Drosophila melanogaster: one gene and its partners. The protein of the gene in region 3 interacts with the protein of the main gene of each other region in a pairwise test. Each region holds a gene or a part of one and is shown on either strand. Other genes may lie near its edges.

The links.
Region 1: the proteins of CG42495 (region 3) and Ugalt interact in a two-hybrid assay, tested with the Drosophila melanogaster proteins (one large-scale study listed by BioGRID).
Region 2: the proteins of CG42495 (region 3) and CG4313 interact in a two-hybrid assay, tested with the Drosophila melanogaster proteins (one large-scale study listed by BioGRID).
Region 4: the proteins of CG42495 (region 3) and Vti1a interact in a two-hybrid assay, tested with the Drosophila melanogaster proteins (one large-scale study listed by BioGRID).

What each region holds. Positions count from the first base shown.
Region 1 is NC_004354.4:2,700,624-2,709,081, reverse strand, and holds Ugalt (UDP-galactose transporter), read left to right. Parts: upstream 1-5,336; 5' UTR 5,337-5,561; coding exon of another isoform or gene 5,562-5,577; 5' UTR 5,578-5,625; coding exon 5,626-5,794; intron 5,795-6,306; coding exon 6,307-7,244; 3' UTR 7,245-7,958; downstream 7,959-8,458. Other genes in the region: CG2681 (uncharacterized protein), read right to left, coding at 1-118; CG2680 (uncharacterized protein), read left to right, coding at 1,740-2,129, 2,226-2,753; eIF2Bbeta (eukaryotic translation initiation factor 2B subunit beta), read right to left, coding at 3,016-3,088, 3,157-3,542, 3,633-4,089, 4,159-4,245, 4,309-4,364; Lint-O (L(3)mbt interactor in ovarian somatic cells), read right to left, coding at 8,387-8,458.
Region 2 is NC_004354.4:2,049,276-2,057,686, reverse strand, and holds CG4313 (uncharacterized protein), read right to left. Parts: upstream 5,004-8,411; 5' UTR 4,942-5,003; coding exon 4,382-4,941; intron 3,871-4,381; coding exon 3,247-3,870; intron 3,184-3,246; coding exon 2,742-3,183; 3' UTR 2,273-2,741; downstream 1-2,272. Other genes in the region: Sik2 (Salt-inducible kinase 2), read left to right, coding at 1-1,567, 1,662-1,769.
Region 3 is NT_037436.4:18,663,778-18,670,230, reverse strand, and holds CG42495 (uncharacterized protein), read right to left. Parts: upstream 2,871-6,453; 5' UTR 2,797-2,870; coding exon 2,652-2,796; intron 2,584-2,651; coding exon 2,438-2,583; intron 2,385-2,437; coding exon 2,247-2,384; 3' UTR 2,096-2,246; downstream 1-2,095. Other genes in the region: Capr (caprin), read left to right, coding at 1-1,197; MYPT-75D (myosin phosphatase targeting subunit 75D), read right to left, coding at 3,977-4,533, 5,411-5,907, 5,971-6,091.
Region 4 is NT_037436.4:688,792-696,221, forward strand, and holds Vti1a (vesicle transport through interaction with t-SNAREs 1a), read right to left. Parts: upstream 4,129-7,430; 5' UTR 3,988-4,128; coding exon 3,894-3,987; intron 3,830-3,893; coding exon 3,231-3,829; 3' UTR 2,695-3,230; downstream 1-2,694. Other genes in the region: CG32483 (uncharacterized protein), read right to left, coding at 1-89, 144-329, 383-1,168, 1,239-1,290; RabX6, read left to right, coding at 1,829-2,008, 2,158-2,619; CG13894 (uncharacterized protein), read right to left, coding at 4,492-6,078.

The DNA of each region.
Region 1 (8,458 bases), on a different chromosome or scaffold from region 3:
CCTCATTGATCGTGCTGTTGAGAAATATGCGGCGCTGCTCGTTGATCTGTTCGATGCTCTTCAGCTGAGCCAGAATTTTTAGATCCTCCTCCTTTCCACCATTGGCCAGGGTAGACATTTTCGGCAATTTTCCTTAGTTTTTGACTAGTTGTCGTCTGGTTGTATAACCGCCGGGAACAGTTGCTCCAAGCTCAGGTGGCCGAATGTGCTTTTCTTCTGGCGGAATTCTTCGCAAGCGTTCGCAACTCGTACTTTCGTATCTTATCAGGGAGACGCCTAACTAAACTAGCTGGCCCGGCAATCGATTTGGACTTGTGATGCGATATACCAAAAAGCCGCAGCCAAAACCAACCAAACCAAACCAAACCAAACCAAAAACGCAGCCGAACCCCAAGCGACGCGACTCACACGCGCTCGCACATCAAGTACCCGCCCCGTTGGCCAGTTCTTTTGCCTTCACCGCCGCGGACGCGGACATGGACACGAGCGTCTTCCGGACCCCGCCAATTGAAATGTTGCATTTGAATTTGAATTATTGGCCATTTGTGGTTTCCTCCGTTCCGGCGGCTTTTCCATTTCCCCCTCTCCGCTTCCGTTGGCCAAATGCCGCAGCCATCAATGTCAAGGTGTTGACATGTGTGGCCAGGGTCTACGGCCCAGCACAGTGGGACCTCCGTAGGGCGACAGGCATTCTGTTGTCTACGCTGCTGAACTTTCGCAATTGTCATCATACTTATTAGTTTCTCCATGCGTCAACTGTACCTTTGCTTTTCGAACTGAGGAAAGCGTGCTCATACATGTTTCCTCGAGTGTTCACTGTACACGTTTGTGCCTGCCTGTTATAAGCTTGAGCGAACAACAGCAGCAACAAAAGGCCGATGCACCACCGATCAATACTTACATACATACATATGTATGTATGTCAATCGCCTTCAATCACGTGTATCGCAGAGGATTTGTAAGAAATGCAATTGAAAGGAAGAAAAGGAAGCATGTGAATCGCAAAATACATATAATATTTATAGCATGCCAAAAGCCTTTGAAATTTAATTAAATTTTTCTTTACAGCCATTTTGGGTTTGTGGTTTCGCTTTGATTGCATAGAATTGAATTCAATAATAAGGCTGTCAATTATTTCGAGACCAATATATTTCAGTCACATTTGGCAGTGGAACTAGTTCGATAATCTATATGGTTCTAAATTATATCCGGTAAATTCAAATGACAGTCAAAAGCATGAATAACCAAAATTTGACGAATGCAGCAGACTCATTTTATAAGTTGTTCCTTAAGATAAACTTGGTATAATCACGCGTACGCTTGATTGTAAATCCGAACTAGGAAGCAAATGAGATACATATGTATGTATGTATTTTCCGGACTGCTATCCGCTCTGTCCGGCAGATGGGAATGTGAAATAGACAACAAATCGCACGAGTCTTTCATGCCGCGTTCCACACAGAAGATCTTATATTTACATACGGAATCTTATCGGACGAGCCACTCCGCTCGGGTTCGCTAAATCGTGTAATAAAAGATACTTAGCACATATGTACGTAGGCATAGGGTTGTATGGGCGAGGGGTGGTTGGGTTCGGGTTCGAGGAACCGGGGGAACAATGTCAATGCGTTGACATTGAAGGTTAAATGCCGGCAAAGGCGGTTAGTCGGCTGTGGAATTTCCGTGCGCGCGCAACCAGCATCCAATTCGTTCCTGTAAGCCAAAAAACCAACATTACCATGTCGCCACCACGACACATTTTGAAGCTCAGCCTCGAGGAGCAGCGGCAGTTCATCGATTCCTTCGATTTGGTGATCAGCGACTGCGATGGCGTCGTCTGGCTCCTGGTGGGCTGGATTCCCAACACGGGAGCCGCCGTCAATGCCTTGAAAGCGGCCGGCAAGCAGATCAAGTTCGTGTCGAACAACAGCTTCCGGTCCGAGGAGGATTACATGGAGAAGTTTCGCCACATCGGCGCCAAGAACGTCCAGGAGGACGACATCGTTCATCCGGTGAAGACCATTGTCCGGTACCTGAAGAAGCACAAGCCGGGGGAGCGGGTATACTCCCTCATGTCCCTCGAAGCGAACGAAACGTTACGTAAGCACAACATCGAGTTTGAATCGCTGGTAAGGGGAAGGTTATTACTTATAAATATATATATACAATATATTTAGTTCAAGAGCTTCCGTGTGACTATTAAATTTCATATCATTCTCCTTCAGCAAGTCAAGGAGCACCTGACGGCCGCGTCGCTGGTGGATCACCTGGCCATTGAAAAGCCCGTGGGCGCTGTGCTATTCGACATCCACTTGGACCTCTCGTACGTGGAGCTGGCGAAGGCCATTAGGCACCTTCAGGAGAATGACGACTGCCAGTTGATAGCCGGCGGCAGCGATGTCATCATGCCACTGGCGGAGAATCTCAATGTGGCCGGGTTCTTTGACTTCCTGGAGCACGTTAAACGCTACACGCAACGCGAGGCCACGTTTCTGGGCAAGCCGTCTCCCATTTTGGGCGAAATGTTTGGCGAAATGTTCGAGATTCGTGATTGCAAGCGCTGCATCTTCATCGGGGACACACTGGTGCAGGATGTGCAGTTCGGCAAGGCCTGCGGCTTCCAGTCCCTGCTGGTACTTAGCGGCTGCCTAACAAAGGAGGACATGCTGAACGCCCCGGTGGAAGCGCAGCCGGATTACTATGCCGATAGCCTGGCCGACTTCACGCAGCTGCTTGAAAATATTCAAAAATAGGTTGAGGATCGTGTGCCGCAGGGAAATTACGAGAAACGTGCTACCTGAAATTAACTATATCAACCCAAGATAAAGTAGTAATGTTCTTAAATCGAAAACCGATCCACCGTTATTGCTTATTCGATATAATTATTGTTGAATTTTAAAGTTTATAAATGTCTACGAAATTGATGCATTTAAATCAATCCAAATCGAAATGGGCTTGCTACTTTACTGTAGACTTTATTGGTAGAATTGCTAAAACAACGAGACAAACACGATTTCAAATCTCCAAATCTTCGGGATGATACAGTTCCGTAAGGAGGCGGTACACATACGAGGGGGCATGGCCACCGCTAAGTAAAAAAAGAATCCAATAAATGCAATAAAAAAGAGTCGAAAGGCCGATAAGCGCACTACTTACGTGTTGGATATGAAAAGGGTGACCAGTTCCGGAGGCACGTAGTCGAACATGGGACTGTATACCTTGGCTTCGCGCGCTGGAATCGAATCGTAGGGTATCACATCCTCCGCACAGCCGACCATATTGAAGGCGTCCTGCTCGCACAGATGCAATGGTGAGAGTTTGTACATGGGCGCCAGTACAATGACCGGCACGGAGTAATGCTTGGCGGCCAGGGCCACTGTATACGCTCCACACGCCGCTCTGAGTCCTCCATTAGCCAGCACGCTGTGCGTACCGATTATTACCTTGTTGACGCGCGACATCATAGCGAAGATGGCCGCATCTGGGATCACAACAATCTCCACATTCTTCTCGTTGGCCAAGCTGGCGGCCAAATTGTGACCCTGTAAAAGACATAGGCAGTTGTTAAGCAACATAAGAGCATTTTCTTACACCCCACAAATACTGTCGTCCCATAAAGAGACCCAACTAACCCGGCAGGCTGGCGCACATTCGGCTACGATGATGGTGAGAAACTGACGCTTTTTGATCGCCCTTTTGAGGAAATTCTCGACGCTGCGCGAGTGTCCCAGTGTCAAGATGATCTCCGACGAATGGATGTGCTCCTCGGCCTGGACGCAGATGTTCTCCGAACTGGTCTCCAGCTCCGTTTCCACCTCCTGCAGGTGGTCGAGCAGCGCTTCCCGCAATCCATGCTGGGGCACCGAGTAATCTACGCTGACGTTGCTCTCGCTGGTCTGCGTGACTAGCTTGTGAAGCGACAGCGAGGCCTGTGAGTCGTCCGCGAAGTGTTGCACCTTGGCGTGCAACAGATCGAACTCCTCGCGAGTCAGCTTGAGGATCCGCCTGGCAATGTTCGAGGTAACCGTCTCCTGGGGCAGAGCTGCCTGCAGGATCTTACACTGGTCGCGCACAATCTGCATGAGAGCACTGTCAAATGAGGGGGAGTTGTTTATCAGTTAATGTGTTATCCTTGGTGTGCCATCCCTTGCAACTCACTCGGCGTTCTGCCAGCTCTTGCTCATGATGATGTACTTGAAGATGTCCAGCGTCTTGTTGGTTATGTTGTAGGATCCCTCCACCAGCCTGCAAAACATATGCCACTTTAACAACCAAATGAATCGCAGTGCCTGCCAACCGACGACTTACCCCACTTTGATGGCGTGGATGAGCTGTGTGATCTCCTTTAGCGGCTGTTCCTTCATCGTGTCCTGGCGTCTCTGGTCTTTGCAATTATGAATTATCAACTAAAGTGGCCAACTGTTACCATTATTCAGTTAGAAAACTATTTACGAAATCGCCACACCGAGCAATGTTATCGATAGGCGGCAGGCGAAAGCGAATTCTAGTGATGAACTCAAAAAAGTAAAAGATTTAAAATCAACACGGAAATTATTAATGTTTTCATTTATTGCATTTGATTAAATTAATTTATTTAATCCCCCCAAATGGCAATATATTTGTAATGTTGTATTGTAAATTTGATGCATCGCAATTATCAGGTGCCGCCAACAGGTTGTTCATCATTCACTGGCTTAATTTGATGTTTTATGTTTATTTTAATTGTCTGCATATACTGGCTTTCATGACGTATTTTCAACGGCAGCTGAGTAAATAGCCAACCTAGTGCGGCAAAAATAAATTTCGCTGGGCTTAAAAATTTAACATACATGTGCATGTAGAACAAGCATGCACAATATGTATTTATGTATTTCGTCCATGAGTTTTCTTGTTTTCTACTTTCGATCCCCATGCTCTCTTGTTAAATTTTAATTTTAATTTTAAAGTCATAATATATACATTAATTTAAGCAATCTCAATGCCCGATTATTGTATATCTAGCTTTTTTTGCAAGCAACTTCTTTTTTCGCGAGTTCCGCCACAATGCCAGCACTGTGACTATCGAAAAGTCGGTCTCTGCTGCGAAAATAGCAACAAAAGCTGCACGCCATGGGCGTAGCTTGCTTTAAAATGGGGATCCATCCCCCAGGAGCATATGTAAGGTGTATTTACTTTACTGAAATGCACAATGCACTTTTAAATTTTGTTTGCATTCAATTAAGAAGGTTTCGCATTTATGACCCCCGTTGCAAGCCCAGGACCACGTCCCTGGCGCGCAGCAACAACAACCACATAGGCGGCGATAAAAAGCCGCCGCTGGCAGAAGCTTCGGGCTCTGATTGTTGTTTACGTGTCGCCCGGTCCAGTGGAGTCGTCTTCATTTGCGCTCTTCTGCTTTTCTGGCCAACTTGAAGGGAACGAACTGCCAAACGGAACGGCCCGCCGACAACTGATCTTGGCCAGGAACGGAGTCTTTGTGTACCCCCAACTACGGCGTTTTGTTTGCCTTCGGTTTCTATTTGGTTTTGGAGTTGAGACAATAGAGCTAGAAGCGTAGCACCATGAATAGCATACACAGTGAGTATTTGGCCTTTAGTGCGGTGGCGTTACTCCAGCGGTACTGACATGGCGCTCCTGCCCGCCCCCGTCACGTATTCCTATTCCCATCGCACAGTGAACGCCAATACGCTGAAGTACATCAGCCTGCTGACGCTGACCCTGCAGAATGCCATCCTGGGCCTCAGCATGCGCTACGCCCGCACCCGGCCAGGCGACATCTTCCTCAGCTCCACGGGTGAGTGCTTATCCAAAAGTCCAACAGGTCGTCGGGCTCAGCAGGTCAAGCCGGTTCACCGCTTAGCAGATTCACCTCGTTGCCCAGAGCCACTTCCACGAAACCTCGACGTGGGTCTGTCCACGCAAGCAGCAACATCAGCAGTAAAAGCAAACGAGTCGAAGAGGTGGAGGTGAAGGTGGTGTAGGAGCAGTGGCAGGCGGGGAATGGTCGTTCGGGTAGATGTGAAGCTGCCAAAGAAACTGATAAGCAGCCACTTCCGCATTTAGCTCCTAATAGCTTGATAAAACTGTTGGGGAACTTCTACCGCGATAGCTCAAGGAGGTTTGGTTGGCATTCTTGAATTACATATGGGTTTACATTTTGCCATTAAACTTTGGTTATTGCTTTGGTGACTCTGTGTGTAAGTTAACCGGACTTATTTGAAAACCCGAACAGCGATACTTGGACTTATTAGTATATATGTACATATATTTGATTGATTGATTGCCATTTTGCGCCCTCTTTCGCAGCCGTACTCATGGCAGAGTTCGCCAAACTGATCACGTGCCTGTTCCTGGTCTTCAACGAGGAGGGCAAGGATGCCCAGAAGTTTGTACGCTCGCTGCACAAGACCATCATTGCGAATCCCATGGACACGCTGAAGGTGTGCGTCCCCTCGCTGGTCTATATCGTTCAAAACAATCTGCTGTACGTCTCTGCCTCCCATTTGGATGCGGCCACCTACCAGGTGACGTACCAGCTGAAGATTCTCACCACGGCCATGTTCGCGGTTGTCATTCTGCGCCGCAAGCTGCTGAACACGCAGTGGGGTGCGCTGCTGCTCCTGGTGATGGGCATCGTCCTGGTGCAGTTGGCCCAAACGGAGGGTCCGACGAGTGGCTCAGCCGGTGGTGCCGCAGCTGCAGCCACGGCCGCCTCCTCTGGCGGTGCTCCCGAGCAGAACAGGATGCTCGGACTGTGGGCCGCACTGGGCGCCTGCTTCCTCTCCGGATTCGCGGGCATCTACTTTGAGAAGATCCTCAAGGGTGCCGAGATCTCCGTGTGGATGCGGAATGTGCAGTTGAGTCTGCTCAGCATTCCCTTCGGCCTGCTCACCTGTTTCGTTAACGACGGCAGTAGGATCTTCGACCAGGGATTCTTCAAGGGCTACGATCTGTTTGTCTGGTACCTGGTCCTGCTGCAGGCCGGCGGTGGATTGATCGTTGCCGTGGTGGTCAAGTACGCGGATAACATTCTCAAGGGCTTCGCCACCTCGCTGGCCATCATCATCTCGTGCGTGGCCTCCATATACATCTTCGACTTCAATCTCACGCTGCAGTTCAGCTTCGGAGCTGGCCTGGTCATCGCCTCCATATTTCTCTACGGCTACGATCCGGCCAGGTCGGCGCCGAAGCCAACTATGCATGGTCCTGGCGGCGATGAGGAGAAGCTGCTGCCGCGCGTCTAGCTCTGGAGGAATCCGGATCTGCCAACAGTATTTGTCCGTAACCCGGAGGCCGCCGTTCGGTAATTGCTCTGGTGTATCCGGTGCATCCGGTGTCCTTGATATTCCCCACGTTTTGTGTGTATATATATTAGGATGGATATTAACGTCTGGACAATTCGTAGCACTTTCTGTTGAGACGATAATTGTAATGTAAAGCAGCGATAAGAATACTTAATGATTTATGTAATTTAAATGTATTTAGGGTATTCACTAGCGAAACTAAAGTGTAGTTAATGAAATGATGCAGCTTGAATGCACGTTTTATTGATCATTTTAATTGTTACTTTGCGAATGCTGAGGAATGCCAGCAGTATTTACTGGACAACACCACACATACCGTGCCTATCCTTTTGTAAATATCCACTTGCACTCAAGTTTAGACTAAGATTTGTAACGATTTATAGTTTTCAAGTTACACTTGATGTTCGGCCAATTCACAGCCACAACTACTTTTGTTCGAATTTTTTTTTTAGAAGATCATATATATGTATATATATTTACTTGAATGTGCATTATTTATTCATTGCCAATTACTTTATTTTTGAGAAATCCTAGGTTGAGCCAGCCCAGACTTATATATTTGTATTTGAACTAAAGTCGCATTACTCGCACAGTGTTTTAAGAGTGATTCCATATCGATATGTTTCATTTCCTTTGAATAAATATTAGACGAATAAAAGGCGTATTTTACTCCATCAAAAAGTAATAACAACTTTCAACCCACGATAAGTAAAAGCACAACAAAGGTTTTGGGGTCAGTTTTTTGCTTTATTGGCCAAGGAAGGTTTCCTCTTAACTGAAGAACTTTAGTTCATCTATAAAAGAGTAAACCTTTGCCTCTACCCTTAAAAAAAAAAAACACCTTAATAAAAATCATAACGTGTTGCAAATTCAGCAGATACCATTCAAAAGTATGTGCATTTGCGAGTGTGGGATTACGGAACATTTTTAAAACTAAAGCAAAATCTTAGCCATCCGCCAGAAGACTTAATATAAGCTTTATTGGCTGCGAAGTGATGCGGTTGCGATGGCTACAGAAGAGAGTATTGATTTAAATTAAGTGTGGTACATGACATTAGGTGCTAAGGAGGTGGGTGGGGACGCTAATCTAGCCAGGCGAGGCCAACGTCATTGGATTGAGTCTGCAGGGACATCACGAGTTCGAAGACGCGCAG
Region 2 (8,411 bases), on a different chromosome or scaffold from region 3:
CTCTGCTTCCCAGGAGTCAAAGGGCAGCAATGGCGGCGGTAGCGGTAACGCCAACGGCGGACCCACCTCGCACTCCAGCAGCGATCTGACGCGGCTCGTTGGAACCACTACCTCTGGACAGAGTCACAAGATGCGCTCGTATGCCAGTAGTAGCTCGTCCAGTGGCGTTCTCGCCGGGAGCGCTGGTAGCTACTCCAAAAGTCTGAGCCAGAACCTGAGCCGCGGCTCGTCCAAGAGCAATTGCAGCGGTCCCTACGATAGCTTGGACTTTGCCTTGCCTTCTGGCAAGGGCAGTCTACCCTCGTGCATGGGCTCAAGTTCGATGCTGGCCACGCCCACTCCGGCCTCGGCATCGCCAGCGGGAATCTCATCGGAGCATTCATCGGAAAGATCGCTGTACGGGAGCCACAACTCCTGCATCCATATGCCAGGAGCTCTGCCGTTGGGCTTGGGCCTTCCTCAGAGTTCAGCCTCCACGCCCACGCCGAATCCTACGCCTCCGCCAAATGGCGGTGGTGTCACGTTCCTGGACAAGCGTTCACCCATACACTTTCGCGAAGGAAGACGGGCGAGTGATGGCCTGGTGGCCCAGGGCCTGCTTAGCTCTGGTTCCTTGCTGGGCACCAGTCGTGTGTACGGAAGTTATCGCTACGAGCAGGCCAAGCGTCACGGTTGGCTGGAGATCCAGCAGCTGCAGCAGCTGCAGCAGGAGGCGGCTGTGGGGCATTCACACCCACATGCCCATCAACATCCGCATCAGCATCCGCATCCTCATCCCCAAGCGTACGGCTTGGAAGAACTCTGTCAATTTCCAAATGGTCAATTCTATGCTCTGCCGGGCAAGCATCATCCGCTGCTGACTTTGCCCCATCATCATGCGCATCCTGCGCAGCATCACCATGGCCATCATTCGCTGTTCCATTCAGGCCACCAAGCCACACCTCTGCTCCTGGAAGCCGCTGCTGGTGGGGATATGTATGGTCATGGATGCTATGCTCCGCCACCGCCGCCACCAGGGCTATACACGCACCATCAGTTGGGCGTGGGTATGGCCGTGCCCATGTCCCCGATGCAAAAGCCACCGCTGCAGCAGCAGCTACTGCAGCACCGCCTGCTTCAGCAGAAGCGTCAGTTGTTCCAGAAGCAGTACGCACTGGAGGCGCAGCTAGCCGGTCGACATCACCACCATCAGCAGCACAGCCATCACCACCATCACCACTTTGGCCACAGCCTGGGTCCGCCACCGCCGCCGGCTCCGGCTCCGGAACATCACCTGGCCGACGAGTTGTACGAGTTGGCCTTGCTTGATCGGCCCAGGAGCGGAACTCCTAGGCTTCAGCACTCCATGACCATGCCCGGAGCTCATGCCTTCAGTCAGATGAACCTCAAGACTTCCTACATCAGCCAATCGGACCAGGTGCCTGGTGCGGCGCCTAATGGAGCTGGTTCCGGAGGATCAGCTGCTGGGGTATCATGCTCAGCTCCACCGTCCACGGCGCCGGGTACGCCCACGGTCAAGTGCAAGCCTACCACGCCCCACGGTCACAGCCTGGACTCCGACTATCATGTAAGTAAGCTAGATAACGCATATTAAGATGATTTCTCAGGCATCCCAAGTTCGTATATAAACCTTATCCGTTTTCTCCTTGTGTCCTCCGCAGACATCGACGCCGGTGCTCAGCCTTTTCACGCCCAATTGGCAGTCGCTGGTAAAGCCGCTCAGCGAGAGCCCCATCCTGGAGATATCGGAGCACCTTGAGTCAGTCTGAGGCCGTGTGTGATGTTATTCGGTGGAGGGGTTGGGGCAATTCGAATGGGAGTAGATTTGTAAGTGGAAGTCGGTGGGAAAGGAAAAGGGGTAGGACTGGACATCGAACTATAATGGGGGCTGGACCGGGACCGGGGCCACCTTTTTATTAAGCTCGCAATCGCAATTATGAATTATTTGATCCATATACGATATACACCCATACATACATATAAATAGCCTATATAGATATGAATGCGGGTCGGAATCGGAATCGGAGTTACATCGATTCACGTTTATTGGAACCGATAGAATCATTACCGAACCGGGCGAAGCAGTAATATTGAATGATTTAGTTGTGTTACTAGTCTTAAGTAGTCCAAGTTTCGTACGCATATACGCAGACATATACAATATGTATATTGATAATAATAGCGTTAAGCTATAGCTCTACTTATGATTACACTATACACTATTGTATTGCCCCCACGACAGTGGACGAGAACAACGTAACTACATATATCAATTATTCGAAGCATTTATTGGGGGCATAGAAAGGGCGTATCCATATAAGGATATATCTATTATGTATTGGTACAATAATTAGCGACAAGCAAAGAAAAAAAAAACAAAATTTAAACAAACATCGATTGTTCTTAAACATGGAATTCAAATGTAAACCAGATATTAAAGTCATTTGGTATAAAATGCAATATACTTCTGGAGTTCCTACATTATATAGATATAGATATAGATATATATGGGTGATCTGTGTTTTCGTGTGTGCGTGGAAGGGACGACCGGCCGGATCATGTGACTAGAAATCTTTTTTGGAGGCACTATAATCACCAGGGGATCAAGGAATTTTTTCTTACCGCAGATCATTCAACATGACATTTGGGTACTTCTCCCATCGTATTACTACCATATGGCACACATATATCATATCCCGCTAGGACGGAGGACGATGAAGGTGTTAAGGCATCTGTCGGAGTCACGTCGTGGCCTTCACCTGCCGATTGGACTCCAGGTGCTTTCGCTTTGCATTGGCCTGATTCCGCTGCTTCTGGGTATCTGGAGAGCCATGGCAGCGCAGCAAGTTCCAGTAAGCTCTTCGGTATTCGGAGCTCATCAACACGTAGATCAGCGGGTTGATGCAGGTGGTCAAGTAGATAAGTAGATAGCCAGCAATGTTGAACCAGTGCACCTCGGTGGCGCTTTTCCATATTTTGGCCACCGTGATGGGCAAATAACAAATTACAAACCACACGAAGATTACCAGTATCATCTTAAGCAATCTCCGGTCCTTGGCACTCATCCTTCCCGGGTAAATAGAGGATGCATTTGAGGTATTGCCCATGGAGGCGTAGTGGGATTTCCGCGGGCTAAACCGTGTGAAGGAGGTGGTGCGCAGGGATGTAGTGATAGGGTTCTTTCTGGAATGGATTTACGCATTAAGGTTGAGTGAAATGGCAAAGAAGCCTTCAACAGCTACTCACCCATGGGTTTTGCCCATCTCTAGTTGCGTTTGACTGCGTCCCAGGCTGACCTTTTCCTGATCCCGATCCCTTTCCTTCTCCCGCTCCTTGAGCACCACATTGGCATCAACAGGCGGTGGCTGCTGGTCCTGATCCCTCCTCCGTATGCTGTACGAGATCGGCAGACTGTCCGTCGAAGCATTGTCATCGATATACGCTAAGTTTTCCTCCACCACAAAGGGTCGTCCTGCGATCGGTTCGTTCGCCTCGCCGCTGGACGTGGTCACCTTCTCCGGCTTCTTTGGTGTGGCCATGGCTTGAATCTGATGCTGCGGCGCGGAGCTGGGAGTCACATCGCTGACATTGGTCTTGCCAGCGGTTCCCGCGCGAATGGCCGCCTTTCGCACCAGCAGGAAGATTCGGGCATAACAGATCACGATGCAGATGCACGGCACCATGAAGGCGGCGATGAAGAGGAACTCCTTGGGGGATCTACCATACCGATCATGCATGATGGAACACGAGCCGATGCTGACGTCCAAGCCAAAGATACCCCATACGCCCCGCCAGGTGGGTATCATTATGGAAAACGTGGTGATCCATGTGCCGGCTACCATCAAAGCCAAATATCGTCGCTGGTAAATTCTGGAAGAACGGATTTGAACCAGTGGGAATTGTATTTTGTACCATGTCTAATTTGATAATAATATATGCTCATTGTATTCAAATATATTATTTTAAGATATCCGTAGCTCACGAAAATAAAAACTAGCTAGTTATTTATTTCTCCAGAAATATTGTAGTTCATATTTTATAAGATATTAATTTCCGTTCAGTTTAATTGTTTATTACGAAAATATTGAGATCGCTGAACCGACCTTTTCTATAGCATTTGCCTCTAGCAAGTAATGTTCTCTTTTTTAGTTAATTAAAAAACATCTACGAGAAGCCATACATTTTCCTTTTTATAAACAAGTTCAAAAGTTTATAAGTTCAGAAACACAATAACATATGTGTGGGTTTTTTTCTCAGATTAAGTGGTAGGTTACCATGCGTATCATAATAAACAGATAAGCACCAAGAGGAAGAGTTGGGCACTCTGAATACCCTTCAAGATTTAGGCAGGACATGCCGATATGGGCAGGCCCATTCTCACCTTGGATACTGCCTGGGATGGGCGATAATGATGTACCGGTTGATGGTGATCAGCGACACGGAGAGCAGGGACACCGCCAGCAAGCCGTAGCGCAGCATCGGAAACAACCTGCACAGCAGATCACTATGGGTCCACGCCCGCTCCTTGAAAGTGGACGCGGCCAATGGCAGATTAAAGCAGCCAAAGAGTAGATCCGAGCAGGACAAATTGATTATGAATATGGCCGTGGAGTTGCGGGTTTGACGACCTCGCGACAGGGCCACTATGGTCAGTAAATTTCCGGGAACGCCCACAATGATGAACACTATGCAGGCCACCCAGGCGATGGTCAGCAGCTCGTCCGAATAGCCCTCGAAGAGCACCTGGCGCCTGTCGTCTACATTGAGATTAAGATTCATATTCAGATTGAGGTCCACGTCCACGTCCAGGTCCAGGCTGTCGGAAAGGGGTACCGGCAACACCGCGTCCTGATCCGCCATGTGATCAGTAGCATAGGGATCCGAAAGAGGCAGCGCTATCGAGATCGGATGCGGAGTTGGTCCGGATTTTGGTGGGAACATCGCGCGGCACTTTGTGTTCGGCAAAAGACGCGTTGCTCGTTCCTGCGCCGAATTTGTACTAAAACTGAATTCTCCGCATCCATACACCGACATGGTTCCCACCCAAAAAGTGGGCCCGAAGGCAGTCGCCGCCAGCCAAGCGTACAAAATATTGAGAAAAAAAAAAAAAACAGCAGGCGAACTAGAAAAACTTTCAAAAAGGAAAACAAAAGAATCTCAGAGCAGCAACAGCAGCAACAACACACATTTTTATTGTATACAACAATTGACTTCATCATCGGGTAATTTGGTAATTTGCGTGTGGAATGGGCGCTTTGTTTACATTGTTCCTATTCGGTGTTGTTTCTTAACCGCCCTTCCCGCCCCATTCCGCCCCAATCCACTCGACTCTTTCGCTCTTTCGTCGATATTCTGACGGGGTCATGTTGCTGTTGTTGCCGTTTTTCAAAGTTTCAGATACTAGACCAGGGATACCATTGCCCAAAATGGTTCGACGTTTTAGCTACATACTTGAGCATTCCGACAGCCAGAACATACATACTTGCATTAGACTAGTCTTTGCATCAGTCTGGTGGAATATAAGTCATGAGCAGCATGGGGAAAGTTATCTGCATTGCTAACACAATTCAAGACTTATCACTTGCAATGAAGTAAGAAGTTCCCCTCCTTAATTGATACCTTGACCGATACGTCTTGGATGCTTAAAAAATTCGGTGTGCCAGAGGTTACATGAATATATTGGGAATACAATGAATAAGCTCCTACAGATGAATCGAGTCTATTCGTAGCCCTGATTTCGGGCCATACGCACCTCTCCGGCATTTTTGAAATGAAAAACTTTTCGGTTCCTGGGTCGTGTGCATGTGTGTGTGTGTTTGTGTGTGTGGTTGCATAGTTTCCTCTGGCAATTTTCTGGATAATAAATGGGCGGCATCCATTCGAAGCGAGGAACTGAAAAAAAAAGCAAAACTTTTGCGAGAGGGACTCATTCGAATAAATATGCCTATAGATCGAATTTGTGCGTAGAATGAATACTCCAGTCATGGGCGATTAATCCTGAATCATAACTCGAGACTATGCGTTTTTCACGCTCTCATAACCCGTTTCGAATAATGAGTCAAACCCCGGAAGCCTGGTGTCACACGACGTCAGCGTACATATGTAGTCTTAATTAATCAAGCCAATATGCCGGGGGAAACCTCTCTACTTTTCCGAGGGTCAGAGTGCGGGTCGTCTGTTGGGTCGAATTGAGTATTGTTTGCCTTTTGAAAAGAAAAACAGGCGGTTCTAGGGAAAACTCTTTGGCAACGGCACGAATACGAATACGTTGTTTGTTTTCATGCAGGCCAATAGTCCGGGAATTGCAGCCGACTACCCAAGAAAATAACATTCAGTTCTTGAGGAAATTAATATAATTATAGCGCCATATCGCATTCACTTAAATGACGAGAAATTTTTAAGTTTAAGATCCTAGGAACTGGATGGAATACAATACGTGATAACGAAACATATGGCTCATCCTCGTACTTGCGAAAACATGCGTTTTCATAAAACAATACAAGGCTTTATCGAGCTTAATCTAAACGTATAATCCCATCATTTTTTAAGAAATTAAAAGTGCACTATCCTTGCGCCCACCACTGTACTTGGAAATGCCTGCGGGATGGGCATAAAAGTGGAAACTAAGACCTCCCCCCCCCCCCCACTCATCAACCATTCTTGATATGATTGTGAATACGATTCGAACGCCAATCGACGCCCGCTTCGGATTCGAATTCGGATCCAGAGATCCAGACTAATGTAAACTTCTCCGGCGTACTTACATATACGCCTATACGCATACGCACACGCACGGGCCCATGTTTAGATAGCCATAAACTATCGTGTTCTTCACACAATCCGCAGCAAACAACAAACAATGAGAGTGCGCACAAATCCCTACGTCTTCAGTTCGATATCTGCACCGAAAACATTTATTACCAGGTCACAGTTCCTAATGCGATATGTGCGGTAGCTCCAACCATCAGTTCCTTACCATGCGACAGACCGTTTTTCCCAGTGCAGCCATGTTGGATCGCCTCGATCGATGTCGAATGTCCAATTGTGTAAACATTAGAATGCAGACACATGAAGCCTTATCATTGCACATTTGCTTCAGTGGAGAGAGGAAGCAGAAGCGGCGTATCTGCGATATGCATCTGATCGATCGGCAACCATTGAGCGGCCTCCACCCACACCCGCCCCTCGGTCGGTCACCAGATGGCCGATGGCTGATCGCCGATCTCCGCCTCTCTGTCTGTCCCTGTCTGTCTTCTGCGCTGTCTCCGGCCGGCGGGCGAGAGTGCGGGAGTGCGAGCGAGCAAGAGAGCAGAAGAGAGCGCCAAGTCGTGGGGGCAGTAACAGGGGCGCGCCAAATGAGGGGAAACCTGACTAACATGGAGCGCAACTGACGTGCGTTCAGACGGAATATCTAACGAACGGAGTATACCCTCCCTCAATCAGTTCCCTACGCCACTGGCCGGCGGCGGAGAGTCATTTAGACACTAGTTGAGAGTGAGAGTAAAGAGTGAGAGGGGGCTGCCGATTGTCAACTGGCAATATCGCGACTCGCTCTACGCTGCCCGCACTCGACGAACTGCACTCGATCCGGCAGTTATAGACGATCCAATACGATCCGGCACGAGAACGCAGGCGCTACGCAATTTGTCCGTTACATTCAACCAGTACGGATAATAAACAACGAAAAGTAACTACGATTTCAGTTCGACTTGAGTGACATTCGATACGATACCGTTGAAGCAGTCGCGAGCGTGTGCCTATTTGTTAGATATTTAATTCGACTGTTCCTTTTTGTTTTTGTGATTATGTCAAGTGCTGAGTTAGGGCAACCTGTAACCCTTTTATTCTCTACCTGATCTCGCGATTCAAAAGCATTAGTCATGAAAGCTGGTGCGACTTTTGAATCACCGACAGCAGCAAGCAATAACAAAAACAAAAAGCAATGCTCCAGTGGCGTCCCCAGAGCAACAATAAAAAACACAGCGATTCATGAATAACCCCAGCAAATGCCGAATGCCGTAAACTGTTTACATTGCTAACAGCATTACTCACTCACTCTTTCACCTCGCTCAACCTGAGCGAAAAAGAGGAAGTGGTGGAGTAAGAGTTGGAGAGGAGTGGAGTGGAGATCGGAGTTGGAGAGAGTGGAGAGAGGAGCACGACAGGGGAGCAAAGAAGAGAAGATCGCAACCGCACTAGTTTCCATTACGTGAGCAGAAAGCAAATAAACAAGCGATTTCGATTTCCCCATACCCAGTTCCCAAGTCCCGCCACTGTCCATCCTCTCCTCCTGACCACTGATAACGCGTCCGTCAGTGTGGTGCGGCACACGACTTAGAGGGAAGAGGAGAGGTTGAGGAGAGTAGAGGAGACCTAGACACGGAGAAAGCAATCAGGCCAAGAGGAAGGAG
Region 3 (6,453 bases):
CAGCCCAACCATGTCGAAGAACCAACGCAGGCCATACTGACGCTGACCTTCACCAACCAATCGTTCCCATCGCAGCAGCCCCAGCCCCAGCAACAGGGTCCGCAGCAGCAGCAGCAGCTTTTCTCGCCGGTGCTGATCCACGAGCAACGTCAACAGCCACCACAGCAGCAGCCGCAACCAATGCTGATTATGCCGCGTCTGCCAACCCAACAACCGCAGCAGCCTGCTCCTCAGGGCATTGGCATGCAGGCGGGCGATGTGACCTCAGGGTTCTCATACGAAAATGCTGTTGTTTCCTATGAACAGCAGATCCAGCAGCAGCTGAAACAGCAGCAACAACAACAGCAGCAGCAGCAGCAAAATCTACAGCAGCTGGATGAGCCGTCATCTGTGAACAGCTCCTCGAGTGTCGGTGCTGGTGGAGATGTCGAGAACAATGAATGGCATGCCCGTAATAATGATACAAATGCTGCCGCCACAGCAGCACTGACGAATGTGCTCAAAGGCGAGACCACCCAGGCCACGCCACCGGCACCGCCAACCAAGTGGAGCTCGGAGATGAATGCCATGAGTAGCGCCGCCTCCAATGGCAGCAGCAACACCAGCCACAAGCAGGAGTGGGCCACGCCCAGGGACCACAGCACTGGCGGAGGCAATAGCGGTTATGCCGATAACAACGAGAGTAACAACCATTGGAACAACTCGCAAGGAGACGGACGCCGCAACTCTGGCAATTATCAGCGTCGTGGCGGAGACAGGGATAACCGGGATCGCGATCAGGGAGGGCGAGGTGACGAGCGGCGCAACGGCGGCGACAGGGGCAACTACCGGTCGCGTCAATACGGCAACTCATCTAACACGAACGGACGCAATTCGGGCAATTCGAGCGGTGTGTACTTCCGCAACAATGAGTCGGGCAATGGTGGAGGCAACAACTACTACCAGAACGGAGGAGGTGGCGGTGGCACCTACAACAAGGAGTCGCGCTACGAATCCTCCGGCGGCGGCGGTGGAAGCTATCGAGGCCAGCGCGGTGGCAACCAGCAGCGTAATGTAAATGGCTCGTATGGCGGCGGCAGGCCCATGGGCGATCGTGGTCGTGGCGGAGCGGGCAACCAGGGAGGTGGTGGTGGTGGCTACATAAACCGTCAGAACCAGTCGCAACGCATGCCACTCGGGCTGGAGAACAAAAACTGAGCATACAATACGTATTAACCCCGCAAACAAAACACACATACAATTCATGCAAACCATAAACACAACCTCCATACAGAAAACAAGGAAACCAATCATCAACATGCAAGTAATGGCCACGTAGACGTACAATTATTGTTACGCAAACCACTCTCAACCATAAGAAATGGAAATCTATCAAAAAGAATCCTTTATAACGCAACTAGGGAATCGAAAATGAAGCCGACACACAAATCAATTCGTGCGCATTTTTCAATACGATTTATACCTATTTCCCTTGATTTTGGTTTATTCGATAATGTATTAATAATAAAACAAAATAGTTGTTAGAAACACGAAAGAATTACAACTAAATACAGGAAAGTAAGCGCTCCAAGGGTTTCTAAAACTCCCAGACAGGATAGGACAGGACACAACACTACTTCGTCCAAGGAAAACAAACGACAGATGGGCAAAACTTGTATGTAACTTGGATCTGCCATTTCTTGCTTGATTTTACTTTTTGTCTGTTTGGCTGCGTTGAAGCTGATTGATGATTACAGATGTCGAGAGAAAGAATATAAAAAGTATTTATACGTCTTAGCAATTAAATAACGATTCTGAATTATAAAAATTAATTACTATTACCTATATATATAAACGAAGGGATAAATATATTTATAGTTTGTGCTCTTACTGTCATGCTCTATCCCATTTCAACACCTTTTTTTGTTCTGCCAAACTTTTACACACAAACGATGAAAACAAAAATACAAAACCACGTAAAACATAATAGTTGTAATTATTGCCGCGTGAATGAAGAAGCGTGCACACTAACAGTGCATTATAAATGAAATGAAAACTATGTATTTGCAAAACAGTACATACATTAAACAAAAGTATATAAACCATTCGTTTTTTTGGACTAATTGGGGTTCCCAACATTTTTATATTTTAAAGTTACAAATGGAAAATTAAGTTTCTTTAACTATTTTTATCCCTGCTTCAGAAAGTTATATGGCAAATGAAAAATGTGTATAAAAGAAGCTAATCTTAAGCAAATCCCATTCCTACTATTCCATTTTGTCCTGCTTTTCGGACTCGACTGTTCCTCCGTCGCAAAGAAACCAAAGACCAGCCAGAATGAGAGTTATTCCGATGCCAGATAGTACTGTCAGTGGCTCCCGATAAACAAGCGCACCTAGGACAAACTATATAACGAACAGTAATCATAATTGAACAAATAGATCGGTGGATCACCTACCGATAAGACATAATTCGAAGCGGCAGTTAAAACGACGCACGTTAAAGTTTGTTCAGTCATTTGCAGGGCCTTCAAAAAGAAACGCAAGTTGCAAACGTTGCATGTTACCATTAACACTAGTGGCAGCAGCTGAAGTAATGCTATTTCTAATAAATAAAATAAAATTTTATAAATTTATAAACATTTTGCTTGTTTGAAGAAATCACAATCTTGCCTAAATAAGAAAAGTCTTCATTTATTTGCGAAGTATTCAGTAGTTTTTGGGCGCTCAGGTGGCTGGGAAGTTTTCCGAAAAAGCTTCCTGCAGCTGCGAAGGAGCCAGCCACCAAACTGTATCGATATTTTGCGAGTGATTCCATTAGGTTAGATCTTTAAACTTATAAGTTTAAACCAATAAAAATGTAAACAAAAGTCGAACGAGGCAACAGCTGATGCGCAAAGCTGCCAACTTACTTCCATATGACAAGCTTGCGGTTCATTAAAATCCCGCCAGGTGGAGCACCTTGGCGCGAGATTTAAAAGAGTAGATATTTACTTCAACTTCATTCTTCATAAGAAATATAAGCACAGGAATATAAAAAACTAACTGGCGCAAAATCAAATCAAATTTGTGTGTAATTTTTTCGTATTTCATTTGTTTATTTTACAAAACGTTCAGCTAATGCCTTGACATTCATCGAAAAAGTCTCATTTGCTAATTGCGCGTTGTTTTTGCATCTTTTGGAATTGTGTAGGTTTATATACAAAGACCGCTGCTACATAAATAATACATATATTCTTGTACCTCTCAACAAAACTCAACTTACATAACGCAGAGCAAAGTAGTTGCATTAAAAAATAAATCTCTATGCCGCCTGGCATTATTAACATTCCTTCAATTCAAACATTTAGACACTTATATGTGGAAATTGCTTGAGTGCTATGCATTTCGTCTCATTGCTTTGCTTTACTTTGCTGTCACGGTTTAACTACAATTTTGCTATCGTACTATATATTTAGTTAAATATTTACTTGTTGCATAATACTTCGCCTGTTTCGGTTGTAACACTCACACACGGAAACACAGATATTCCTAATGCACTCCAAGCAAATCTATTAAGTTAGGTTCTTACTTAGCATTGCTATATAAATATTTTTTGATGTTTTTTCATTTTGATTTAGTTAGTTGTTATATATCGCCTAAGGTAAACTGCTCACAATTATTTTATACGTAATTCTTTTAATATTCTTTAAAATGTATACATATGGTTGTATATTTGTATAAATTTGTTTCGTATAATTGGTTGTGTGTGTCTTTAGTGTGTTGTTGTGTCTGCTAGGAAAATGCAACGACTTTCAGCCGTTATCTAGGAGCTCACAGAATCGAACCCCGTTCTCAAAACCAACATGCATTTGTGTAATCAACATTCAACAATTCACTCACTGAATACGGCTAATCTAATAAAAAGACACTTTTTTCTTGCCATTTAACAAATGGCCTATCCCTCTGACAATTCTGGCTGCTCTAATACCCTGTGACTCTAGTAGTTCGCTAAGTTTCTACATCAGGACGCAACACCTGCGACTGGAACTGGTGCTATCGGTGACCACGTCGCCAGTGATGCCGCTGAACTTGTTCAGCGAACTGCCCGCCGGCGAGGAGCCCTCGAAGTCGGATAGCACGCTTCCCGCGCCCATGTGACCCAATGTTGGCTGCGTCGAGATCGGTGCGGATCCGTTGTTGTTGTTGTTGCTGGTGCTCAGGTTGTTGTTGTTGTTGCTGCTGCTGCCGCCGGCTCCTAAAACAGAACCATTAGTTGTTGTGGCATTAGCTGCTGCAATTGGATGGGCATTGCTAGCTGTTTGGGATGACAATTCGAAAGTATTGAGGACATTGGCGGTGCGTGAAAGCGAGCGTTGCTTCTTCAAATTGGCCAATGTGGCGCTGTAGCCATCCAAGGCAACATGCTGCTGCTGCTGCTGCTGTTGCTGTTGCTGCTGATGTTGCTGAAGCTGCTGGTGTTGCTGCAACAGCAGTACGTGTTGCTGGTGGTGGTGTTGCTGCTGCTGCTGCTGCTGCTGTTGATGTTGCTGATGGTGGTGCGTGCTATTGGTGTCTGGATGTTGGAAGTTTTTGGCAAGGCGTTGGGTGTGTTTGGTGTTTAGTGGTGCGGTGGTTGTTGTTTTTATTGTTGATGATGATGCGGGCAGGCAGACGACACAGAACGGGCGAAACGAGGCACAACAACGACAACAAAAAAGAATGAAACGGAAACAAGCAAATGTTATTTTACTTTTCTTCTCTTCTTTTCCCGAGAACTAAGTTAGCAGATACCCATTGACCAATTGGGAGTGATCGGGTAGATGGGATGGAGGTTACATGCGAGTCAAATGCTAATGCTTATTGCAGCCATGCTCCCCTGTTTTCTAAGTACGATTTCTAGTATCAGAAAACCCATTTAGTGTAGTAAGCTATTAAAATGGCAATAATTTACATAAATAGTAATATATGCTTACGCTATTCCACTTTAGGCATTTAAATAAAGAAGTCATTTACAAAGCATATTTACAACATAATGAAATAAAAAGTATCTTACTACAACAATGACTGTCATTTCCATAAAATATATCTCAACTAAGCTATGCATCTCACGAAGCTATCCTATTAAAAATCTCAAACCAAGATATCGATTATCATTTCCTACAGGGCATTCGTCATTCTATAGTCTACTCATGCTGTTAGCTCTGCTTGCTTGTTGGAAGTATTTTCATTTCCATTTTAGTAGAGTCGTTAAATAAACATTAAACATTGACATTGACACGGGGACAGAATGGCGCTTAAGCAGAACTCTTGTGATACGTTGACGCTCCTTGGGAGCCAAACAGGATGGTTGGAGGTGGCGTCTGGATGGGGTGCTTGAGTAAATGGTTGGCTTTGGTTGAAAGGAGAAAGCGGAAGCAAGCCTGACACGTGGCCAAGGGCGCTTGACTCACCCACGAGGACGGTGACCTGGACATTGATCTTGCCGTTGGCAGCCTCCTTCGACGACTGGATTTGAACGGCCTCGGCACTGGCCGCCGTACCCTTCTCGGTGAGAATGACGGCCGCCGCCGAGGTGGCTCGCTGCATCTCTCCCGCAGCACCTGCAGCTTTCAGGCGTAGCAGTTCATCGTTTTCCCGGCCATCCGGTGGACGGCGCGACGGATAGGAATGTGTGGCGTTGGCCGACAAAGCGGCGGTGGCATTATCCAGCGCATCGGCGGACTTGGAGTGCGGCAGTGGTTGGCCATTCGAACTGCCCGTCGAGGGTCGCTTCTCTCCGTTGTTGTTTCCGTAACCATAGCCATTGGTCAGCGGATCCCCTGCCGATGAGGGAGCCTCCGAGTCCGTCGCCTCCTGCGCCTGCAGACGCAGCCGGGTCTCCTCGACGGCATCCTTTTTGGTTGTCAGCGTTTTGTCTCGCAAACTAGTGCGTCGCACTGATTGGGCTCTGTGGAAAGCATAGTTAGTTTTAATGGTTATGTTTAATGGCTCATAAATGTTATGTAAATGCCTTGTGTTGTTGCTCTGTGAGCGTCGAACGCGTCGTCGCTGCGCCTCGGCCAGTCGTTTGCTCTCCTGCTCCGTCTTCAGCTGTTCGATTCGCTCCCTGATTTCGGGATCTTCACAGATGTCTACAAAGGCGGATGGATTGATTTGTTAATATCCAGTTAAAACGTTTAAGTGTATTCTTATGTTTATGGCAACTAACATCTAAATGAACGTATGTACTATATGTGTTTATTTGAAATACTGAGCTAGGAGGAACTTTACGGAAATGGGTAACACTTTTTCGAGTTAGCCATTATAAATCGTTGATCCTGCCAAGCTAAAAAATTAATGCAATCTTTCTTCACACCTGAGAGCGCTTTCCTCCTACTCCTACTACAAATAGTCTAGATTTACACATTTTCCGTGTCGCATTAACAACAATTTATAGCTCAATTTCATATTCATGGTTATTTTGCTCTAGCCGGATAACCGTTGATTCAGTGCC
Region 4 (7,430 bases), about 18 Mb from region 3:
GTTGACGGTGCCCGGTGTGGCGCAAATCAAATCCAGGCCACCGGAGAATACGCCGACCTTCAGAGGAGTCTTCTCCAGCAATTCGTTCACTGTCATTCAATGGATGTCAGACGCTTTCGTTATATAAGAAGTAATATCCCTACCAATGTGGATGACTGGCTTCATGAAGTCCGTTCTGTGGATGTCAAAAGTGGTCCCACTCTGCGATCCCCAGATGACATTCGAAGGTATACCCAGGGTTTCCGCCACCGGGCCCCGCATCAGATCCTCCAGTAACTTGGTTCGATCCTCATCAATATCGTATTTCACCATGGTGCGATACAGACGTTCTGCAGGGAAATATCATGGTTTGAAAAATATCGTATCGAAGTATTTGGTTCACCTTCGGAGGTCAAGGCCTTTGATCTCTGGTAGAGACCACCCTTTGTCTCCTTCAGCACGTTGTAGAAGTCCACACCCTTGGAGGCTTTCATCACCTCCCACTGGGTGTTGCCCCACTGATAGGTGGCCTGAATCCATCGCTCCTCCTCCACCAACTGAGCCGTGAAGTTCGCTGCCTCTTGAATGGCATTGTATCCCGCGTGGTCCACGATTCCCATTTCTCTGAGAAAAGGTCCCCATGCGAGCACGGAGTCGATGGGCGAGGTCCATGGATCCCCCAAAGCCACCGAGGTAAGGTTGCTCTTGACCTCACCACGCTTCTTGGCGTAGTACAGTTCGAGTGCAAACTCCGGCGCCATCTTTCCACCGTAACTCTCGCAGAATATATGCAGCGGCACCTCCTCGAACTCTGGATGCAGGGTATAGAATCCCTTCATCAGCTCAACCAAATCTAGAGCGATCTCCTTATTGGTGGCCGTGTAAAAGGCCGTGTTGTCCACGTAGCTAAAACCACTGCCTACGGGGTTGTCAATAAAGAGGACATTCATGTCCTTCACCCAGGTCCAGCTGCGCCAATCTCCGTACAAATCGACGGGCCCAAGTTCTTCAAAGTTTCCATACCCCGTCGAAGAGGCACCGGGACCTCCTTGGAGCCAAATGGCTAATGGTCTTTCGGTATAGCTCGAAACATTGGCGGTGGTGTAGTACAGCCAGTAGAACATGTGGGCACCGGGACGCACATCTACGTAGCCCCAGTCCTGCTCTCCGGGACCGTATCCGGGTTTGCCTAGGATGCGCCATTAGTTCATTTAAAGATTACCACATTTCAGAGATAGCGCTCGATTTACGATTCTTACCATGCGCCAAGGCGGCGAACAATGCCAGGAGTGCTACCAACCGAATCGACATTTTCAACTGAAAGTGATACTCAAGCGCACGGGCTTATTTAACGGGTACAGCACTATCAGCAGAACTTGACATCAGATAATAGTTTTTCAAAAATGATAACTTCTATCGATCTGGTTCTTTCAATCATTCAGAAGAGGGATGATAATCATTTTTGAATTTGTATATTCCCTTTTAAAAAGAAGTTGAATATCTGTTTATGTACGTATATTTAGGTACAACTAATGTTGAAACGATAACTTCCTCCATAAATAATCCCTTTTTCATAAACAATTTTACAATATTGTATATTATTATTATAATGGGTGGAATTGTTTTGCCTAAACTAAAACCAAATGCAGATCTCAACTGATAAGACCATTTGAATTCGAATAACTCGAATTATCGGTTATCGATAGCGTTCAAATGGCTGGCAACTCTGCGATGTTGGCTGTTTTTGCACAAACAGCTGTTGTCGCACTGTTGTTGTCGCCTTTGTGTCTGCAGGTGCAAAATAATATATTAATTGGATTAACTTGGGATTAATCGAGCGATCACAGCCATGGCCACGATGCGCATACCCAAACAAAAGGTGATCCTGTGCGGCGACTACGGAGTGGGCAAGAGCTCCCTGTTCCGGCGCTTCGCCACCAACACCTTCATCACGGATACGGACAGGAAATCCACGTTGGGACTGGACCACATCGATAGGGAATACAGTGTGAATGAAAAGCAGATCAAGGTGGGCTCGGGAACCTCTAAAAGGGCGTGATGGCTGAGATATGAATCCTTAAGCTCTTTAGTTCGATTTCTAGACGAAAGCCACAGTTCTTCAGACTTACAACTTATTGCGTTGTGAGACACTTATGTATATACCGTCTTCTTTGACAGCTCCAACTCTGGGACACCGGTGGCATGGAGCGTGTGGCCTCGGTCACATCCTCGTACTACAAGTTCGCCGAGGGAGCCATCCTGGTCTTTGCTTTGGACAACGCCGCTTCGTTCCACTCGCTGTCGCAGCACTTGCTGGACATTGTGACCTATGCAGAGAATGCCAAGATCTTCATCTGTGGCAATAAGAGCGATCTGGATGGCAGGGAGCCGGAGGTCAGCGATGAGGAAGTGGAGGCCTTCTGCGAGCAGTGCCACTCACTGATCAGTGCCACGTACAAGACCTCCTGTCGCAGCGGCGCCGGTGTGGAGGAGATGTTCCGTGACATCTCTAGGCAACTGGTCCACGCCAATCGCTCCAAAATGGAACTGCAGGCACTGGAGCACAAGAGCTTCCAGGTGGACACTGCGAGCAGCGGCGCGGCGACCAACGAGGAGGACGCCTCCTCCTGCGGCTGCTAGCAGTTGGGGAACATTGAGTTCGGCTAGGAACCCTTATTCCCGCCAGGCTCAATGCTCACGCAGAGATGCATTTTTACTGTTTCCTTTATTTATTGATAGCTTTCGGCTATGTTATGATTTTTAGATACGTACATGTTCAATTCGAATTTTTACGAAAAATACGTCCCGAACGCGAACACGAGTCATAGAGTAGGATTAGTTTCTATTAACCAGGCGCCAAACATTAACCACTTAAACTTTGTACACGTAAGCTAGGATGGCGGATACGCGAGTGATAGGTTAGAAATCTGCGGTAAGAATTAAAAAGTAATAGGAATTCCATCGATTAACAAGAAGGTCAATTTAATCTTAAAGGTAAAAGGACAACAAAATATATAGACATCGATTGACCGCAGATAACTACTCTAAGCTTCGACTCTTATTGCACGTAATACTCCATCCTATCTTATATAGATTAGTGCGTAATCTGCAGCTTTCTTCCACAGAATATCTCGTAAAAATAAAATATACTAAACAATAAATAATCAACTCACGAAATTGGAATGGACAGGCTTCTATAACATTTGAATTTGGGCTAAGATCATTGGCTATTGGTTTGCTAGCTAAAATTACTACGACGAGGCGGTGCTGCTTGAACTGGGTGCGAAGGTCAGATAGAGACTGACGCCCACGGCCACCACAAAGCAGACACCCACTCCATACAAGACCACCTTCTCCCGCAGGGCTCTTAACATCATGGTATTCAGAGTGCGAGAAGCTCTTCCCAGCTCGGCATTGGTTTCTCGAAGTCGAGCCCTGGCTCCCTGTAGAGTTTCCCTTTGGTGGTGCAGATCATTTAGGACCTGGGCGCCCAGTTGCTCCGTCTCCAAGGCCACTCTGTACCCTTCGGTTAACCTGTTGCCCGTCCGTTCAATCCTTTCCGAGTTGTCCAAGAGGCGTTGGCGTTGATCTGTACTTATGGACACATCCTCATAGCTGTCACCCAAGTCCAGAGTGGTGAATGTGTTGGCTTGGGAGCGCTGTTTGTCCTTGGTCAACCTGTACTCCGCCTGCAGCCGTTTCAGTTCTGCCTGGGCCACCTGCAGCTTTCCGTTGAAGCTGCTCCGCAGTCCAGGATTTAGCTCCCTCACCTCCAGACCCATCTGCTCCAGCAATTCCTGAGCCTCGGGCAAACTGGAGTCGATCTTGCTGCACAAATCATGGCGCTCGCCTGGAGTAAATGGACAAATGGTAATCACCATAATGTACAATCCATGGACAATCATCCCACTCACTGTTGTTGTTTTGCTGCTGCAGCCGTCCAATATGGGCCGTTATTTCTGCTATTAACGTGGCGTATTGCTGTTCGTATTGCTCCAGAAGCGACATTTGTGCGGTTTTTATTCTACCTTATTCAGTTGTTTATGGTATTTGTTCTGTTTTAGTTCGCGAAAATTACAGATTTATCGAAGAAAAGAAGTAAACATTGTCCAAGTGTGGCCGAGTCATGAGGTGAACAGTAATACAGCAATCTATAAATACTTTTAAGTCGTGGTCACTCTGATTTCGAGTCAGCGTTGCCATACTCATGTAAAAAACACTGCCAACTTCAAGGACTACAATATTCTCGTAAGAACTCAGATAAAACCAACTTCCGTTTTAAATACGTAAATAAAACACAAACATATCTATTATTTTATAAATTCCATTTTATTGTACTTAGAGTAATTAATAAATTAATTAATTAGGTTCAGCTTTATGCGAGTGGAGATTCTTTGTTAACCTAAGCAACTGTTTTGGCGGTAGTACGATTTAATAATACTACATGATACATATGTACACTGTTCATCACATTTATGTTTTGTGCTGTCCTGGTCCGCGATTAGAAAACTCTTAACCCTCGACCAGTGTGGCCTTGTCCCCTTTTCGGAGCACCAGTTCCAATTGGGACAGCAAGCCAATAGCCCGAAAGTTCTCCTTGAAGAGCACGAAGTCCTCCAGCGGTTTTAGGTACTCCAAGGCCTGGTGGTAGCTTTCCAACTCCTTCAGCATGCATAAAGCCTTCTTATCCTCGGGGTCTGGGGATGTGTGTCCATTGGTTTGGCTGCCGGAGGAGCTGGATCCATTGGGGATCTTTTTTGGCGAGGCGGGAGCAGAGGCGGGTTTGGTGGACGCAGCTCGAGCTGGTGCAGGTGAGTCCTTTCCCTTGGAAGAAAGGGCAGGCGTGGATTTGCCACTTGTTCCGCCTCCCTTGGGGGCGTTCTCCTTGCTGCTGGCACTGTCTCTTCCCCCGCTATTATTGTTGTTCTGCTCGTTGGGACTGGAACTTCGACTGTGCTTGCTGGTTAAGGTTGATTCTGCTAGCGGATATGGTGGTGAGTTCACCGCTGAGTTAATCTCTTGCACTTCGTCATCATCGGGTGACTCCATTTTGGGTCTCTTGGCCAACTGAACGGGCTGGAAGGGACTGGCCCGCTGCGGTGGAACATTTGGCGGCAATTGGGGCTGAAAGGGTTCCCTTTGAGGTGGCATAGTGGGTGGAAACTGTTGCATCTGCTGCTGCTGCTGGAGTTGCTGTTGCATTTGCTGTTGATGCCGCTCGAAATAAAAGTCGTTGAAGCTGGCGAACCCGGGGTGTGGAGTAGGATGTCCGGGATGTCCTGGAAACGGTGGCCATGGGTGGCCCATTTGATGCTGCTGCTGTTGCATATGTTGCTGCTGGAGGGCAAAGTGCTGCTGTTGCTGCTGCTGTTGCTCTTGATAGCTCTGCTCCTTTACATCCATACTGTCATCATCTTCTTCGTATTCTCCGTACTGTTGCATGTAGGTCATGTACTGCTCGGGCATCTCCTCCAGTTTGGCCACTCTTTCAGCGCTCGCGGGCGGAAAGAGATGGGCTAGGTCCTGTACGATGTCCGGGATCCACAGGGAGGATCCTAGTGGCTTCAACTGGTTGCTGGCTAGTTTTTGGGCAAAGCCTTGAAGATGAGTCTCTCGGAAACGGTTTAACCAGCGATTGTCTGCTATAAAGGATGTGCTCCCTATGACTTGTCTGGCATTCTCCGCCTTGTCCTTGATCATTCCGTGGGTAATGCTACCTCGCAGCTGGGGATTGATATTGGCCCTTACTAGCCATTCGTATACCACTGCATTGATGTAGGCGCACTTTCGGCTCCTCTCGATCTCCTCCACCATGGCCTGCTGCTCAACGGCCTCCAGGTTGGAGGGAACTTCCAGACGCAGGGTGGGCAGCGCATTCGACTGCAGTCGCCTGCCACCCAAGACACTGGGGTCAAAGTGCAGGGCACATACCACTGGCTTTTTGAAGGGCACAATTCGTCTTAGGGAGGCGTGGCACGCCTCCTTCCACAGCTTGTGGAAGGGGTTCTCCGGCCGGGGAAACGCAAAGAACTGCATACTCGGGTGCTGACGCGAATTGGACAAGCATCCGATGATGCAGCACCGCCGGATGGTCGGCATCTCGACCTGCGGATGAGGATGAAATTGCTGTTGGCCCCGAATCTTAAATGCTGGAGTGCTGGCGTTGCTCACGCTTCGCCAGGTCACGAAATGTAAATGAAATTAAAACAAATCCACTGGAATCTGCAAGAGAGTGTTTGCACACATTATTAAGCTGGCTATTTAACTTCAATTTAAGTATCTGCGATGTTCTGTGTTCCTTCATGGTCGCGTTCTCAATTTACCGCCAAAGTTCAGGAGGTCTGGCAAGTTCTGGGCTAGGACATGGAGTCTGGCATCCTTTAACCCTTTTCCTTGGCGCACTTTGCAACAAGTGTCTGCATTTGAACTATCTTAGTGCAATTGAGCCCACGATTTCCATATTGCAATGCAATCGGAGTTTTATATTTACATATTTCAGTTTCAAACGTATACGAGTTTGGCAAATAACAATAAATTAATGTGCTGATCTCCATGATTAAAACGAGTAAATTACCCGATTGAGATCGTGTTTTCCCAGAACACAGATATTTACAACAAACCAATGAGTTAGCAACTCTAGAAGGACAACTTTACAAATGAAAAATGAATTCGACGAACAAGCTAGTGTCTATCTCTTGGGACTTACAGCAGATGACATGAGTCATCGAAATAATGGCAAGCCAATACATATTTTTATAAAAGTATATCACAGTATATAGGAACAACCTCGAAACCTCTAAAGAGCATATGCCAATAGCACGACCACTCTAGCCATTTTACAGATACAGAGACAAAACCAAAAGATACATGCGTACGCCTTCGGAAATCAATATAGCCCCCGGAAAAAAAAACAGAACCAAAGCCATACCGTCAGAAAACCATATCGGAGCAAACACACACCCACTTATGACTTGTATTTTGTATCGCTCAGATACACACCGCTGGAGATTCACAGAGATGCCTGCCTAATTCGAACGACTTTGGTCGCGCCCCTTTTCGTACGCCCAAAGAGTTGCGAGGTAGATATAGACTGGTGCTGAGTCACAAAACGGAATCCACCTGCCTGACTCAGAGCCGGTCTTTGGATTAACACAGAACCCGGGAGATCGAGATGACTAAATCTCACAAGCATGTCCGATTCATTTCTTAGATTTAAGGCCGTATCTTGGTTTCCTTAGACAAACTTCCAGGTAACTTAAATGTAATGCTAAAGAAGGTAAGGATGGCACTGATGATTTAACCTCCAAAATATAATTTGATATCTAAGAACTTGGGCTGGTTAATCTCAGGATCAACATAGATTTGCTAATAATAAAAAACATTCAATTGTTGCGCCCATTAGAGAAGTGAGTGCGAGAGATTTCATGCGACTCTTACAGATACGGATGGCT